Linked DNA regions of Elephas maximus indicus. The protein of the gene in region 2 purifies or fractionates together with the protein of the main gene of each other region. This does not show direct contact. Links are inferred from orthologs where the notes say so. Each region holds a gene or a part of one and is shown on either strand. Other genes may lie near its edges.

What was found.
Region 1: the proteins of SF3B1 (region 2) and EFTUD2 purify together in Homo sapiens (affinity purification with mass spectrometry; 4 studies listed by BioGRID and IntAct, with this or other methods). This does not show direct contact. The link is inferred for Elephas maximus indicus from reciprocal best matches to the Homo sapiens genes SF3B1 and EFTUD2.

Annotation. Positions count from the first base shown.
Region 1 is NC_064837.1:51,315,591-51,322,726, forward strand, and holds the start of EFTUD2 (116 kDa U5 small nuclear ribonucleoprotein component), read right to left. Parts: upstream 3,108-7,136; 5' UTR 2,985-3,107; intron 2,872-2,984; exon of another isoform or gene 2,759-2,871; intron 1-2,758. Other genes in the region: CCDC103 (coiled-coil domain-containing protein 103), read left to right, coding at 4,362-4,504, 5,262-5,394, 6,486-6,935. UniProt on the Homo sapiens protein: Required for pre-mRNA splicing as component of the spliceosome, including pre-catalytic, catalytic and post-catalytic spliceosomal complexes. Component of the U5 snRNP and the U4/U6-U5 tri-snRNP complex, a building block of the spliceosome.
Region 2 is NC_064824.1:95,769,817-95,777,027, forward strand, and holds the start of SF3B1 (splicing factor 3B subunit 1), read right to left. Parts: upstream 3,048-7,211; 5' UTR 2,969-3,047; coding exon 2,941-2,968; intron 1-2,940. UniProt on the Homo sapiens protein: Component of the 17S U2 SnRNP complex of the spliceosome, a large ribonucleoprotein complex that removes introns from transcribed pre-mRNAs.

The sequences.
Region 1 (7,136 bases), on a different chromosome or scaffold from region 2:
CAGAAAACCATGACACACAGGCCAAACCTGGCCCACTGCCTGTCTTTGTAAAAGACAATGCTTTTTACGTTTTTAAATAATTGGAAAAAAAATTTTTTTAACATTTCACAACACAGGAAAATTAATTACATAAAATTCAACAATATCAGTGTCTAAAAATAAAGCTGTAGCTAGTAATAGGGAACCCAGGGTTGAGAAAATATTAAATGACACAGGAAGCATCAAAAGAAGATGGAAGGAATACATAGAGTCATTATACCGAAAAGAATTACTCAATGTTCAACCATTTCAAGAAGTAGCATATGATCAGGAACTGATGGTACTGAAGGAAGAAGTCCTCATCAAGATTTTTGGACTCTCTGCCCAATTCGTTATAATCAAAATCAACCTCTGATTCTGATGAATATCAATTGAGATGTTTCAACAAACAGATGCAGCACTGGAGGTGCTCACTCACTTATGCCAAGAAATATGGAAGACAGCTTCCTGGCCAACTGACTGGAAAAGATTCATATTTATTCCTATTCCCAAGAAAGGTGATCCAACCAAATGCAGAAATTATAGAACAATATCATTAATATCATGCACAAGCAAAATTTGCTGAAGATCATTCAAAAATGGCTGCAGCAGTATATCGACAGGGAACTGCCAGATATTCAGGCGGGTTTCAGAAGAGGACAGGGATATCATTGTTGATGTCAGATGGATCCTGGCTGAAAGCAGAGAATACCAGAATGATGTTTACCTGTGTTTTATTGACTATGCAAAGGGATTCGATTGTGTGGACCATAACAAATTACGGATAACGTTGCCAAGAACGGGAATTCCAGAACACTTAATTGTGTTCATGAGGAACCTTTACATAGATCAAGAGGGAGTTGTTTGGACAGAACAAGGGGATAACGATTGGTTTAAAGTCGGGAAAGGTGTGCATCAGGGTTGTATCCTTTCACCATATCTATTCAATCTGTATGCTGAGCAAATAATTGGAGAAGCTGGACTATACCAAGAAAAACAGGGCATGAGGATTGGAGGAACACTCATTAACAACCTATGTTAGGCAGATGACACAACCTTGCTTGCTGAAGGTGAAAAGGACTTGAATTACTTACTAATGCAGATCAAAGACCACAGTCTTCAGTATGGATTGCACCTCAACATAAAGAAAACAAAAATCCTCACAACTGGACCAATGAGCAACATCACGATAAATGGAGAAAAGATTGAAGTTGTCAAGGATTTCATTTTACTTGGATCCACAATCAACAGCCATGGAAGCAGCAGTCAAGAAATCAAACGACCCATTGTGTTGGGTAAATCTGCTGCAAGAGACCTTATAAAGTGTTGAAAAGTAAAGATGTCACCTTGAAGACTAAGGTGAGCCTGACCCAAGCCATGGTATTTTCAATTGCATCATATGCATGTGAAAGCTGGACAATGAATAAGAAGACCGAAAAAGAACTGATGCCTTTGAATTGTGGTGGTGGCGAAGAATATTGAATATACCATAGACTGCCAAAAGAATGAACAAACCTGTCTTGGAAGAAGTACAACCAGAATGCTCCTTAGAAGCAAGGATGGAGACTGTGTCTTCTTACATACTTTGGAGATGTTGTCAGGAGGGATCAGTCCCTGGAGAAGGACATCATCCTTGGCAAAGTACAGGGTCAGCGGAAAAGAGAAAGACCCTCAACAAGGTGGACTGACACAGTGGCTGCAACAATGAGCTCATGCATAACAACGATTATAAGGATGGCTCAGGACTGGGCAGTGTTTTGTTCTGTTGTGCATAGGGTCGCTATGAGTCGGAACCGACTCGACGGCACCTAACAACAAAAACAACAACCGAGTTGAGAAAGGAGAGTGTTGACATGTCATGGGGTTGTTAACCAATGTCATACAACAATGTGTGTACTAACTGTATGATGAGCCATTAGTTTGTTCTGTTAACCTTCATCTAAAATACAATAAAACAAACAATACATAAATAAAAATAAAGCTGTACTGGAACACAACCAGACTTATTTGTTTATATTATCTGTAGTACCTTTAGAAGAGTTCCTGGGTGGCACAAATGTTTAACTGTCCCCTACTGGCCTAACGGCTGGCAATTCAAACCCACTCGGAGGCACCATGATAGACAGGCCTGGTGATCTCCTCCTGAGAGGTCACAGCCTTGAAAATCCTACGGAGCAGTTGCCGTCCAGTTGATTCCGACTCATAGCGACCCTATAGGACACAGTAGAACTGCCCCATAGAGTTTCCAAGGAATGCCTGGTGGATTCGAACTGCCAACCTTTTGGTCAGCAGCCCTAGCACTTAACCACTACGCCACCAGGGTCTCCACTTTGCATACATGGGGTCACTATAAGTCGAAATCGACTCGATGATGATTGACAACAGCAACGTTCTATATAGACCTTTACACCTTCATCAACATTTATGTCTTTGAATGGTAGTTAACTGTACTGTTAGGTACCCTCACTGTTCTCTTCATCACCCCAACTACAATTTTAGCAAGGACTGTTTTGTTCGCTTAGAACAAAACAATACATCCTTACTGAATCAATGAATGACTCCACCAAGGCACAGAGAAGCTAGCTGACTGGCCAACAGTTGCACAAAACCAGTTAGTGACTTTTGGTGCCAGTCCTGACTGTAGCTTCTCGCTATCACGCAGAGTCCCAAAAGAAGGAAGGGGCGAAGGCGACCCAGATAGAAGAGAAAGAGAGGGAACCAGACAGAACGTAAGCCTTACCTACGAGATTTTACGGACGGACGATACGGAGGGAACCCCAGAATTGGGGTGGGGGGGAGTAGAGAGAGAAGGGTTCTTTGAATCGGTCCCCTTTCCGCTCCAGGCCTCAATTTCTCCAAGCGAAAGGGGGACAGACAGCATATAACGTCTTTTCCATATATGACGTTTATAATTTCCCATCCCACCCGGAGCAACGTCCCCACGCCATTGACCTGCGCCAGCTCACCTCGCGCCCGCTCAGCCAGAAGCCCCAAGTCTGCCGCCGAAGGCCGCGCTCTGTCCCACGCCGCGCCGCGCCTGCGCCCGCAGTCAGGAAGGACCCCGCAGACGCCTCGGGGGCGTTCCTGCCCCGAAGGACAACCCTCCGCCTGAGGACCGGCTCGGAGGAGTGCCAGCCATGGAGACAGGAAGGCCCGAGATGGAGTTGTGGGTCCCCAAAATAAGGCGCGGCTGTCCCAAAGAAAGTATGACCCGAGGAGGCATGAATCTGATCAGGCACCTCGGAGCCACCCCGAAAAGGGGCCTTCGAGAAGATCACGTGGGCAGGCTGTTGTGGCAGTTGCTGAGCAACCACAGCTGCTAGGAGTAGATTGCGCTGAGCGCCCTCTTTCCCTGATGTTTCAGGGGATCCCCAAAGAAAGCAAGGGATCCGAGACCCGGGCTGCTGGGGTGAAGTTCCCGGTGACTGAATTAGGGAGGCGGAAGGGTTAGTTTCTCTCTCAGTTCAGCTATTGGGGATGATTTAGAACTAGCAGGAACCGGGACGCCGGAATTCAGTTCTGGCCCTTGTTGGCGCTTGGTTGGTTTCTCCGCGTTGGTGACTATTGGGCTGGATGCGGGCCGCCTGCTTTTCGAAGGCTGTTGATGATGACTCCGCCACAAAATCTAGCCTAATCCACCAGGAGGTTAAAGAGAGATTTTACAGCAAATAAATGTCAAAGACTAGAACCCATATAGATAACCTGCCTGCAGATAACGCAGAGGCTACAGAAGTATAGTGGCAGGACTAAAGAGATTGCCCGAGTCCATGGGGACCTGTGCTCCAGCCCTGGGCTGAACAGAGGGATTTGAGGATAGGGATCATTGACCCCCTTCCTCTGCCACTTCTTCATTTCCTGCTCAGTCATTGCATCTGGTTTGGGTGAAAAGTATCCTTCCCCATTAAAGACGTTTAATGCAGGGTTAGATTTTATTCTAGAGCTCTATAGTACCTGACAATAGTTCAGCTTTTGTGTGAGGTCTTTTATCCCAATAACTTGCTATAAAGTAAAGGAACCAAATTCTGAGATCCAAAAGCCTCAGCGGAAGCAAAAAAAATAAAATATTTTTAGAGGCAGAAAACAAAACACAGGGCTCCAAATTCTGTTTTCGGTGACAACAAGTCTTGTGCAAGTCCCCACTGTGCAACTCAGCTCCCCTCTGTAAAGTAAAAAACTAGATTTCTGTATCACTATCCTCTTCACCAAGATAAGTTAAGTAACGAGATACCCAGAGTGCTTTTGGGTCATTTTGTGGGCTGGCAAAGAATCCAGAGGCTTCCTCTTCCCCCCTGACGATGACCCTATGCTCATGTCCATTCCCTTTGCTTTCCCAGGCACAGGTCATGGAAAGGAATGACATCATCGACTTCAAGGCTTTGGAGAAAGAGCTGCAGGCTGCACTTACTGCTGATGAGAAGTACAAGCGGGAGAATGCTGCCAAGTTACGGGCAGTGGAACAGAGGGTGGCATCTTATGAGGAGTTCAGGTTGGCTCCCTGTTACGCTGGACTATAGTGAATAAAGGGAAGGGCTCTGGAGTCAGTTCTGGGCTTCAGTTCTGGCCTCACCCCCTGTTAGCTGGGTGATCTTTTGTGCAGGTTTACATAACCTCTTTGAGTCTCAATTCCTCATTTATAAAGTAAGAACAATTGTTACGATTAAATGAGTTATTGCACATAATACTCTAAACAGAGAGGAAGTGCTCAAAAACTGTCAACTATTGTCACTATTATTATTATTGTCATTTTGACCTGTGTCTTAGCTTCCTGGTGCTGCTGTAACACAAATACCTCAAGTAGGTGGCTTTAATGAACAGGCATTTATTTTCTCACAGTTCTGGAGGCTAAAAGTCCAAATCAGGGTCTGGGCTGTGTTGATTCCTTCCTTGTTGATAGCCCCGGTGTTCCTTGTTTCCTTGGCAATCCTCACATGGTATCTGCTTTCCTTGGTATGTGTTTTCCTCTGTGTCTAATCTGCTCTTTTTATAACTCAGAAGTGATTAGGTTTAGGACATGCCCTACACTGGTATAGCCTCATTAACATGACAAAGAAAATCCTATTTCCAAACAGAATTATGTTCACAGGTATAGGGGTTAAGATTCCAAGTCATATTTTGGGGGGACACAATTCCGTCCATGACTGTCTGCTAACAGATTCAGCTGGTATGCTGCAAAGTCCAGCCTCCTTGCACCCACTTGTAACAGCACTAAGTCCACCCCCTCGGTCTCTGTTCTTTGCCCACAGGGGTATTGTCCTTGCTTCACATTTGAAACCTCTGGAGCAGAAGGACAAGATGGGAGGGAAGAGAACTGCACCCTGGAACTGTCACACTACTCAGGAAAGCACCTCCCAGGATGAGGGCACTGAAATATTCCAGGTAGGTGAGGCCCAGCCTTTTTCCCCAGCAGGTTCTCTGCCCTAAACTCCCAAACCTGTCTTCTCACAACGTATACCTTTGCCTTATAATTATTATTTTTTTAAATATTGTATTTTCAGTGAAAGTGTACACAGGAAATTTGGTTCTCATTTAACAATTTATGTACTTACTGTTCAGTGAGTTTGGTTACATTTTTCACAATATATCAGCATTCTCATTATTTCCATTTTGGTTGTTCTGTTTCCATTAATCTAGCTTCCCTGTCCCTCCTAGCCTTCTCATGTTTGGTCTAGGGCAAATGTTAACCATTTGGTTTCATCTAGATGATTATTTTGAGGAACACAGTACTCACAGGTGATATTATTTATTTTATGGTCCAATCTACTATGTGCTTTATTTTATACTTGAAAATATATGCATCACACATGAACATGTATATATACACATATATGCCTACAGTTACTCATATATGCCTTTCTGTACATATTTATGCGTATTTATATACCTATGTAATCAAACACGTTTTTTTTTAGTTGTTTTTACTGTTGTTGTTTTCATGTTAAGCGACCAGAGGCAGGTTTCTGACTCTGATCCCAGAAAGCAAAGCAGCCAGTGAATGCTGAGGCCAAGTTGAACTGGGCAGATCAAGTCAGAAAGATGTGCTGGGCAGGCCCCCTTCAGCCAGCCCTTCGACTTTCATTCCCAGAGCAGGTTTGGGTCTCTCCATCTCCGACTTGTGGTGTATATAGTGTAATGATTCTGTGGCAGTGTTGAAGGGAGACCCAGCCTGTCAGATCCTTGACACTCACCTTGAGTTCCAATCATCCCCTTCACCCTGCTCAGAGTAAACTCTGACTTATTCTCGTAGACCAGGGCTATATGTCCCCATTCATCAGAGAGACTACCCTGGTACAACTGAGAATCTCAAGTCATGGCTTAGTTGATCTGAAAATGAGACCCACAGGACTGCAGCCTTCGCAGTGCTCAAAGAGCAGTACCAGAGCTAAGACGAAAACCCACAGGCTGCCCTCACTGTCCCAGAGCAGCTGGAAGAGCTCTGGTCTCCCTTTCCTTCTTCCTTTGTGGTCTAGGAGAAAACACTCTTCCAGCCCGAGACCTCAGCAGAGTTCTACCGCGATTGGCGGCGACACTTGAGGAGTGGGCCAGAGCGCTACCAGGCCCTGCTGCAGCTCGGGGGCCCAAGGCTGGGCCGCCTCTTCCAGATGGATGTGGGGTTTGGACTTCTAGGGGAGCTGCTGGTGGCACTGGCTGATCATATGAGGCCAGGTGACCGGGCGGCCATTCTTGGGATCCTGCACAGCCTGACCAGCACTGGGCGCTTCACCTTGAACCTGAGCCTGCTGAGTCATGCAGAGAGGGAGAGCTGCAGAGGCTTGTTTCAGAAGCTTCAGGCCACGAGCGTCCCCAGACCCACGGCCGAGGGGCTCAGCCAGGAGGAGCAGCGTCTGGAGGAGCAGTCTGGTGGGCCCCAGGAGGAGGGGCTCCTGCAGGAGCTACTGGGGCTGTACCAGGTGAATTGATAGGACCAGCTGCCTTCAGAGGTCCCCAGTTGTCGTTCAGGCATTTTTCATTGGTTGTTGTCTTGGGGGCACTAGGACTGTAATGAGAAGCCTACACCTGATTATCTTCTCAACTTGGAATTTTCACAGCAAAAACAGGCATTGAGTCTTCCCCACTTTGTCAGTCCCTCTGTGGCTATGTATTTTGAACTATCTGGGCAG
Region 2 (7,211 bases):
CTGTGTTCCATCAGGTTTTCAATGGCTCATTTTTGAGCAGTAGATCACCAGCCCTTTCCTCCTAGACACCTCTGGGTGCACTCAAACTTCCAACCTTTCAGTTAGCAACTGAGCCGGTTAATTGTTTTGACCACCTAGGGGAAGGAAGACAGGCACTTTATTCTGCAGACATTTGGAAGCCAAGCTCAAACTTACCACCCTGTTTCAAGCCTTCCATAAGCTGATGCTAACCTAACATTTCTTCCTCTCAGTTCAGGAGGTTCCCAATAATGAATAAGTCCTGCATCTATCTCAGCCAAACATGTCCAAACCTACCTAATTCCTTCAAAGGTCAGTTTAAGTGCACCCTTTCTATAAAGCTCTCTTAATTAAGTCCAGTATAAATTAATCTCTTAATAAATATTGATTAAATACGTGAGCACCCATTAGGTACTAGGTACTGGACATACCAAGGTACAGTTCCTATATGAAACTACTTCAATCAAGTGGAAGAGAAAGCCTTAATACAATATCCTAAGTAAAAGTTGGAAACCCTGGTGGCACGGTGGTTAAAAGTTTGGCTGCTAACCAAAAGGCTGGCAGTTCGAATCCACCAGGTACTTCCTGAAAACCCTATGGGGCAGTTCTACTCCATCCTATAGGGTGGCTATGAGCTGCAATCAACTGGATGGCAACGGGTTTGGTGTGTTTTTTTGGGGGGGGCGGGTATTTCTATTAAGTATTTATCACTCTGTCTTCTTTCAGGAGCCCTGGTGGTTCAGTGGTTAAGATCTCAGCTTTTGGTGAGCAGTTTGAATCCACCAGCCACTCTTTGGAAACTCTATGAGGCCGTTCTACTCTGTCCTATAGGGTCTCTATGAGTCTGAATCGACTCCACAGCAATGGTTTTGCGTTTTTTTTTTTTTTGGTCTTCTTTTAATCATATGCAGATGTTTCCCCTATTATATAAGCTCCTTGACAGCAGGAGGTCCATCTTCATTTTTTATACTGCACAGAGATGGGCAGGGCCTTGTACACTGAATGTTCTAACACATTCTTTGTGTCATCAGTTAATTCACATTGATAGAATAACCCCAAATAGTAATTCTGACCAATAAATTGCAATCTTCTATCAACCAACGCTTTTAGCTGGGTTTCTAAAATGCGGGAAAAAGTTAGGACTTTATTGATGTTCCTGTCAAAGGTTCTCTTATGATGACGATACCAATAAACAACTCATCAAAGCCACAAAATGGGCCAAGGGAATAATCTACTCCTGCATGAATAAGAATGGCAACATATTTACATTTTCTAATTATTTAACAAAAGCTATGTTTGATATACTCTAAAACCAAGAGGAAAAGTACTTAAGGACACGTCTGGATTAAGGCAGTGTTTAAATCCTATACACCCAACAAAAATAATAATAAAGTCATTGACAATTCATTAGCAAGCCTCTTAAATTGCAGAGACCTGGACCTCGGGTTGGCCCAACCATTCTATCCACACTCTAGTCCCAACCTACCTTCCCAGATTCATCTTCTACTATTTCCCTGTTTGCACCCTCTTTTCCTGCCACAGCAGACTGCTCAAACACGCCGTTAACTTTCACAGCTCACACTACCTTGTTACAAAATGCTCTCTCAGGCTCAGATATTCTCCCCTAGTTGAAAACTGATTGATCTTTTCCGACCAGGGACATGTCATCGCCTCTGTGAAATAACCCTAAATATAAATTAATCACTCCGTTCCGAAGACTCCTGAAACATACTGCTTTTACTTCTATCTAAGCACTCGTTTGGCCTAAGAGAATGTATATACATCTATTTCCGCCGTTAAAGAATAAAATCTGTGACCTTATATTCTTTGGTCTGCTAACCGAAAGGCTGATGGTTCAAACCAGCAACCACTACGCGGGAGAAAAACGGTGGCAGTCTGCTTCCCTAAAGATTACAGTCTTGGAAATCCTATGGAGTGGCTATGACTCGAAATTGACTAGGCTGCAGTGTGTCTAGTTTTGGTTTCGGCATTCTTTGTTACCCCTCACAGAATAACACCGAGCCACACATAAAGAACATGGATGGTACGTGAAATAAAAGTAACTCTTTCTCTTGGAATTGTGTTCAGTGAAGATTTTGGATTTCACATCAGATATCAAGGAATGCAGTTCTAACTTACCACGCTTCATCTTTTCTGAAAAGGGACCCCCATTTCCTATCACCTCTGGGCCCGCTCTTAATACTCCTTAGTAGACTTCAGCCTATTCCCAACATGTCCGTAAATTTCGTATAATGTGCTCTGTATTCCATAAAACGATCAACTAGTTTGAACGCTTCGAGCATCGATAACATTAATGTGCCCTCACCTCCTTCTACCTGCTTCTCCAATAGCCAGCTCCAAAGAAAAACAGCACTACTATGCTAAAAGTGACTGAGAAAAATTTTACACCCAAATCATGTCGTGCAACAAAAACAAGTAACCCAGACACCTGAAGACACATATTACTCAAGGTTGGGAGTAGTGGGCCTCTGTTCAACCAAACCCGATATAGTGCTGCCGAAAAGCAGTTGCCGTATTTCAGTGCCTTTCTGACTTTCTTATGTACAAACTATTCCGACAACAGTTCCCAGAAACGACTGAGACTTTCCTCCCACACCCGTTTCCCCAACCCCTTGCGCTGGAATCCTCTTTAGCAAGCAGTTTAAACAAGGCCCTCTGGTCGGAGAAGGGAAGCAACAGTACCCAAGCACGGAACAAAGCGCCTGTCGGGGGTGTATGAGTAAGACGCCATTACATGGGGCAGTGGCCTGCGCCGCTGGCGCCAAGGCGACGACGCAGGCCTCGAAGCACGGGCTAGGACCCCAACGAAAAAAACACACAGGAAGAGGCAAAAACCTAAGAAGACAGAGTCTTAGCAGCCTGGGCAACAGAGAAGACACTTAAGCAGAGGAAGATCCCTACCTTCGTGAGTCTTTGCAATCTTCGCCATTTTACCCACTCGAACACACAGACGGAACTGGCGCTCCTAAGAACTTCCGCTCGCCGCCGCCGCCGCCACGGAGAAAAACAGCTGGAGCTGCTCTCTGCGCAGGCGCAAAACGGGAGCGCGCTCCGTGGGTGACACGTGACAGAACAGCCATCTAGCTGGAAAAGCAAGGTGAATTGTGGGTATGGGAGGAGCTAGGGCTGGAGGCTGATGTGGCTTACTTGTTGACTCAGACGGGAACCGGGTGAGCCCTAGCGCCCTTAAGTGTGTAATTTTGCCTTGGAGAACGTGGCTTTCACGAGGACAGTTTAGAACAGACACTGTACGGTAAATTACGGTTTCGGGGCTGGGAGAAACTTCAGCAGGTCTTCAATCCCCTTTTTCCAAATTCACCGGAAGGTGTGTCAGAGCCAGAGAAGTGTTCTTTAGCATGTCTGTACTTGCAATGCTTAGTTATGGAGATAGTCAAAACAGCCTCATCCTTCGCGCTGTAATTCAAAGTCATTTTTTTCCTTTGGTAATTGCCTATCATTTGTGTAAGGGTTTTGTTTACAACATAAAGTACCCAAACATTATTGAATCTCATAAATAGCCCAGTAAGTAAAGTTGTTGCTAATCCTAATTAAGAAATGAGAGAAAAACTAGGGAGAACATGTATAAATTGTTTAAGGTCTCACGGTTTTTAAGTTGCACAGCAGGACCGTTGCCCCCCTGACTTAACTTTATGGGTTCTTAGAAAACCACTGACCGTCAGCAGTAAACACTATAAAATGCGTCTCTAAATTTTAAACATCCTTCCTACATTAGGAATTTTAGTCAATGAGAGTACCGCCGCCTTTTTTTCCTATGCATCAATATAATATCATAAACTCTCACATTTGCCTAGGACTTCAGAGTTGAAAAAGAACAGATCTCAAAGGGAAGTGTGGTCCAGGAAGCAGCTTAGGAAAACAACGATGGAGGTTAGAGCCATCAAAAAGGAAAGAGTGTACCTTGACGTGTGATCGATTCACAACTCATATTTAGAAAAGCATTAGTAACAGAAAAAGTGCATTTTTGTTTTGGTTGTTGTTAGGTGCCATCAAGTCGGTTCTGACTCGTGCCAGGTCCTGCGCCATGCTCACAATCGATGTTATGCTTGAGCCCATTGTTGTAGCCACTGTGTCAATCCGTCTTGTCGAGGGTCTTCCTCTTTTCCGCTGACCCTGTAGTTTACCAAGCATGATGTCCTTTCCAGTGTCTGATCCCTGCTGACAACATGTCCAAAGTATGTAAGATGCAGTCTTGCCATCCGTGCTTCTAAGGAGCATTCTGGTACTTCTTCCAAGATAGATTTGTTCATTCTTTTGACAGGCCATGGTATATTCAATATTCTCCAACACCACAATTCAAAGCTGTCAGTTCTTTGGTCTTTCTTACTCATTGTCCAGCTTTTGCATGTATATGATGCGATTGAAAATACCATGGCTTAGGTCAGGTGCACCTTAGTCTTCAAGGTGACATCTTTGATTTTCAACACTGTAAAAAGGTCCTTTGCAGCAGATTTGCCCAATGCAATGAGTCTTTTGATTTCTTGACTGCCGTTTCTATGGGTGTTGATTGTGGATACAAGTAAAATGAAATCCTTGACAACTTACGTATTTTCTCCATTTATCATGATGTGGCTTATTGGTCCAGTTGTGGGGGGTGGGTTGTTTATGTTGAGGTGTAATCCATACTAAAGGCTGTAGTCTTTGATCTTCATCAGTAAGTGCTTCAAGTCCTCTTCACTTTGAACAAGCAAGGTTGTGTCATCTGCATAACACAGGTGGTTAATGAGTCTTCTTCCAATCTTGATGCCCTGTTCTTCATATTGTACACCTTCTCGGATTATTTGCTCAGCATACAGATTGAATAGGTATGGTGAAAGGACACAACCCTAACACACACCTTTCCTGACTTTAAACCATGTGGTATCCCCTTGTTCTGTCGAACAACTGCTGCTTGATCTATGTACAGGTTCAAATTAGTGTTCTGGAATTCCCATTTTTCACAATGTTATCCATAATTTGTTATGACCCACACAGTCAAATGCCTTTGCATAGTCAATGAAACAGATAAACATCATTCTGGTTATTCTATTCTTTCAGCCAGCATCCATCTGACATCAGCAATGATATCCCTGGTTCCATATTCTCTTCTGAATCTGGCCTGAATTTCTGGCAGTTCCCTGTCAGTATACTGCTGCAGCCTCTTTTGAATGATCTTCAGCAAAAATTTTGTTTGCGTGTGACATTAATGACATTGTTTGATAATTTTCCCCTTCGGCTGGATCACCTTTCTTAGGAATAGGCATAAATATGGATCTCTACTAGTTGGTTGGCCAGATAGCTGTCTTCCAAATTTCATGGCATAGACAAGTGAGCAGTTCCAGTGCTGCATCTGTTTGTTGAAACATCTCAGTTGATATTCCATCAGTTCCTGGAGCCTTGTTTTTTGCCAATGCCTTCAGTGCAGCTTGGACGCCTTCCTTCAGTACACTGGTTCCTGATCATATGCTACCTCTTGAAATGGTTGAATGTCAACCAATTCTTTTTGGTATAATGACTCTATATTCTTTCCATCTTCTTTCGATGCTTCCCACGTCTTTTGATACTTTCCCCATACTGCAACTCAAGGCTTGAATTTTTTCTTCAGTTATTTCAGCTTGAGAAATGCCGAGCGTGTTCTTCTCTTTTTTATTAGCAGCAGTGAAAAATCAATTTGATGAATTAAAAAAAAATTCAGTTGTATAATTTGCATTTCTTTATTAGGTTAAACAATAGTTGGGGGAGAAAGGGGCATGAGATAAGAGAAGAGAATGTAGATTGTAATACAAATCATTGACAAAATTTTAGTTCTTGGGTTGGCAGAAGGATCCATGAATATTCATTATATTATTATGTTTTATAACTTACACATAAGTTCCATGTATTCTTTTATATATACAAAATAGTAAAAATCATATATGTATTTTTTTTTTATTTATAGTATATTTTAAAATGATGAAAGGAAAAAGAATGAGAAATAAGGAATGGGAGAAGGGAGTTACTATTCATCAATAATCAACAAACTAAAAGAATTCATATTGGCAAAGAATCACAAGGACATTGCATTCTTGGGTCATGTTTAAAAAAAATAAATTTGTATATACAGGGTGAGCTCAGTCATGTAAAAAAATATATGCAAAGGAAATTCACTAAAAATGTTAACAATAAGTGTTTATGAATGATGGGAATATGGGTGATTTTTATCTTTTCTTTATACTTTATAGTATTTTCCGGATACTTGGCTATGAGTATGTATTATTTTTATAACCAGAAAAATATGTTTTAAAAATATGACAACCAGCTGCAAAGTGGTCTCACCGTCCCTCCTCCTCTTTCCAAGACAGAGATAAACTGAACCTGCTGGCCACATCATGTACGTATTTCTATGGGTTCCTAGGTATTAAATTACTTTCACAGGGCAAGGACATATACAGGATAATGAGATTTGAGAGAATTTGCCAAAAATCAAGGGAGACTCCCTTTTTTTTACTAGTCTTTAATAAAAGAGTGAATTGGACATTCCAGCAGTAAAAAACAAAGTTTGTTTTTTTTTAACAAGTCTCTTTTACATCCTATTTTTTATAGTATTAATAAATAATACTGAGACATTACTTACCCCCTTCAATCCAAACCTCTTCGGGTGAGGTTTTTTATGTCAAAAGTCAGAGGGGTGACCTGGTCCCTGTTTTTATAACACAGACAATTGACAGTGGTAACATCTAATTAAATCTTTCCATTTCTTGTCAGGGGTACTTGGATGCTGACTTTATACATATATGTAGCAAAAAAAAAAAAACCCCGTTGGCATTGAGTCAGTTCTGACTCAGCGACCCTAACAAGACAGAGTAGAACTGCCCCATAGGATTTCCAGGGAGCAGTTGGTGGATTTGAACGGCCAGCCTTTTGGTTAGCAGCCAAGCTCTTAACCACTGTGCCACCAGGGCTCCATAAATTGCAGAGTAGCAAGGATATATAATTTCTCTAGACAGAAAGCAAGGTATAATAATTTTACAAAATGTTAAATGCTAGCTGTAACTCGCATAAATTACCTTTGGAGATAAAACTCTAAAGGCCTTCAAGTTCCATTCTATAGGAACCCAGGTGACAATTTCTCAGGTGAAAAAAGGGTTGTCACAAGACAAGTGGCCACAATCTTGATCTGCAGTGTTGAGTTTTCC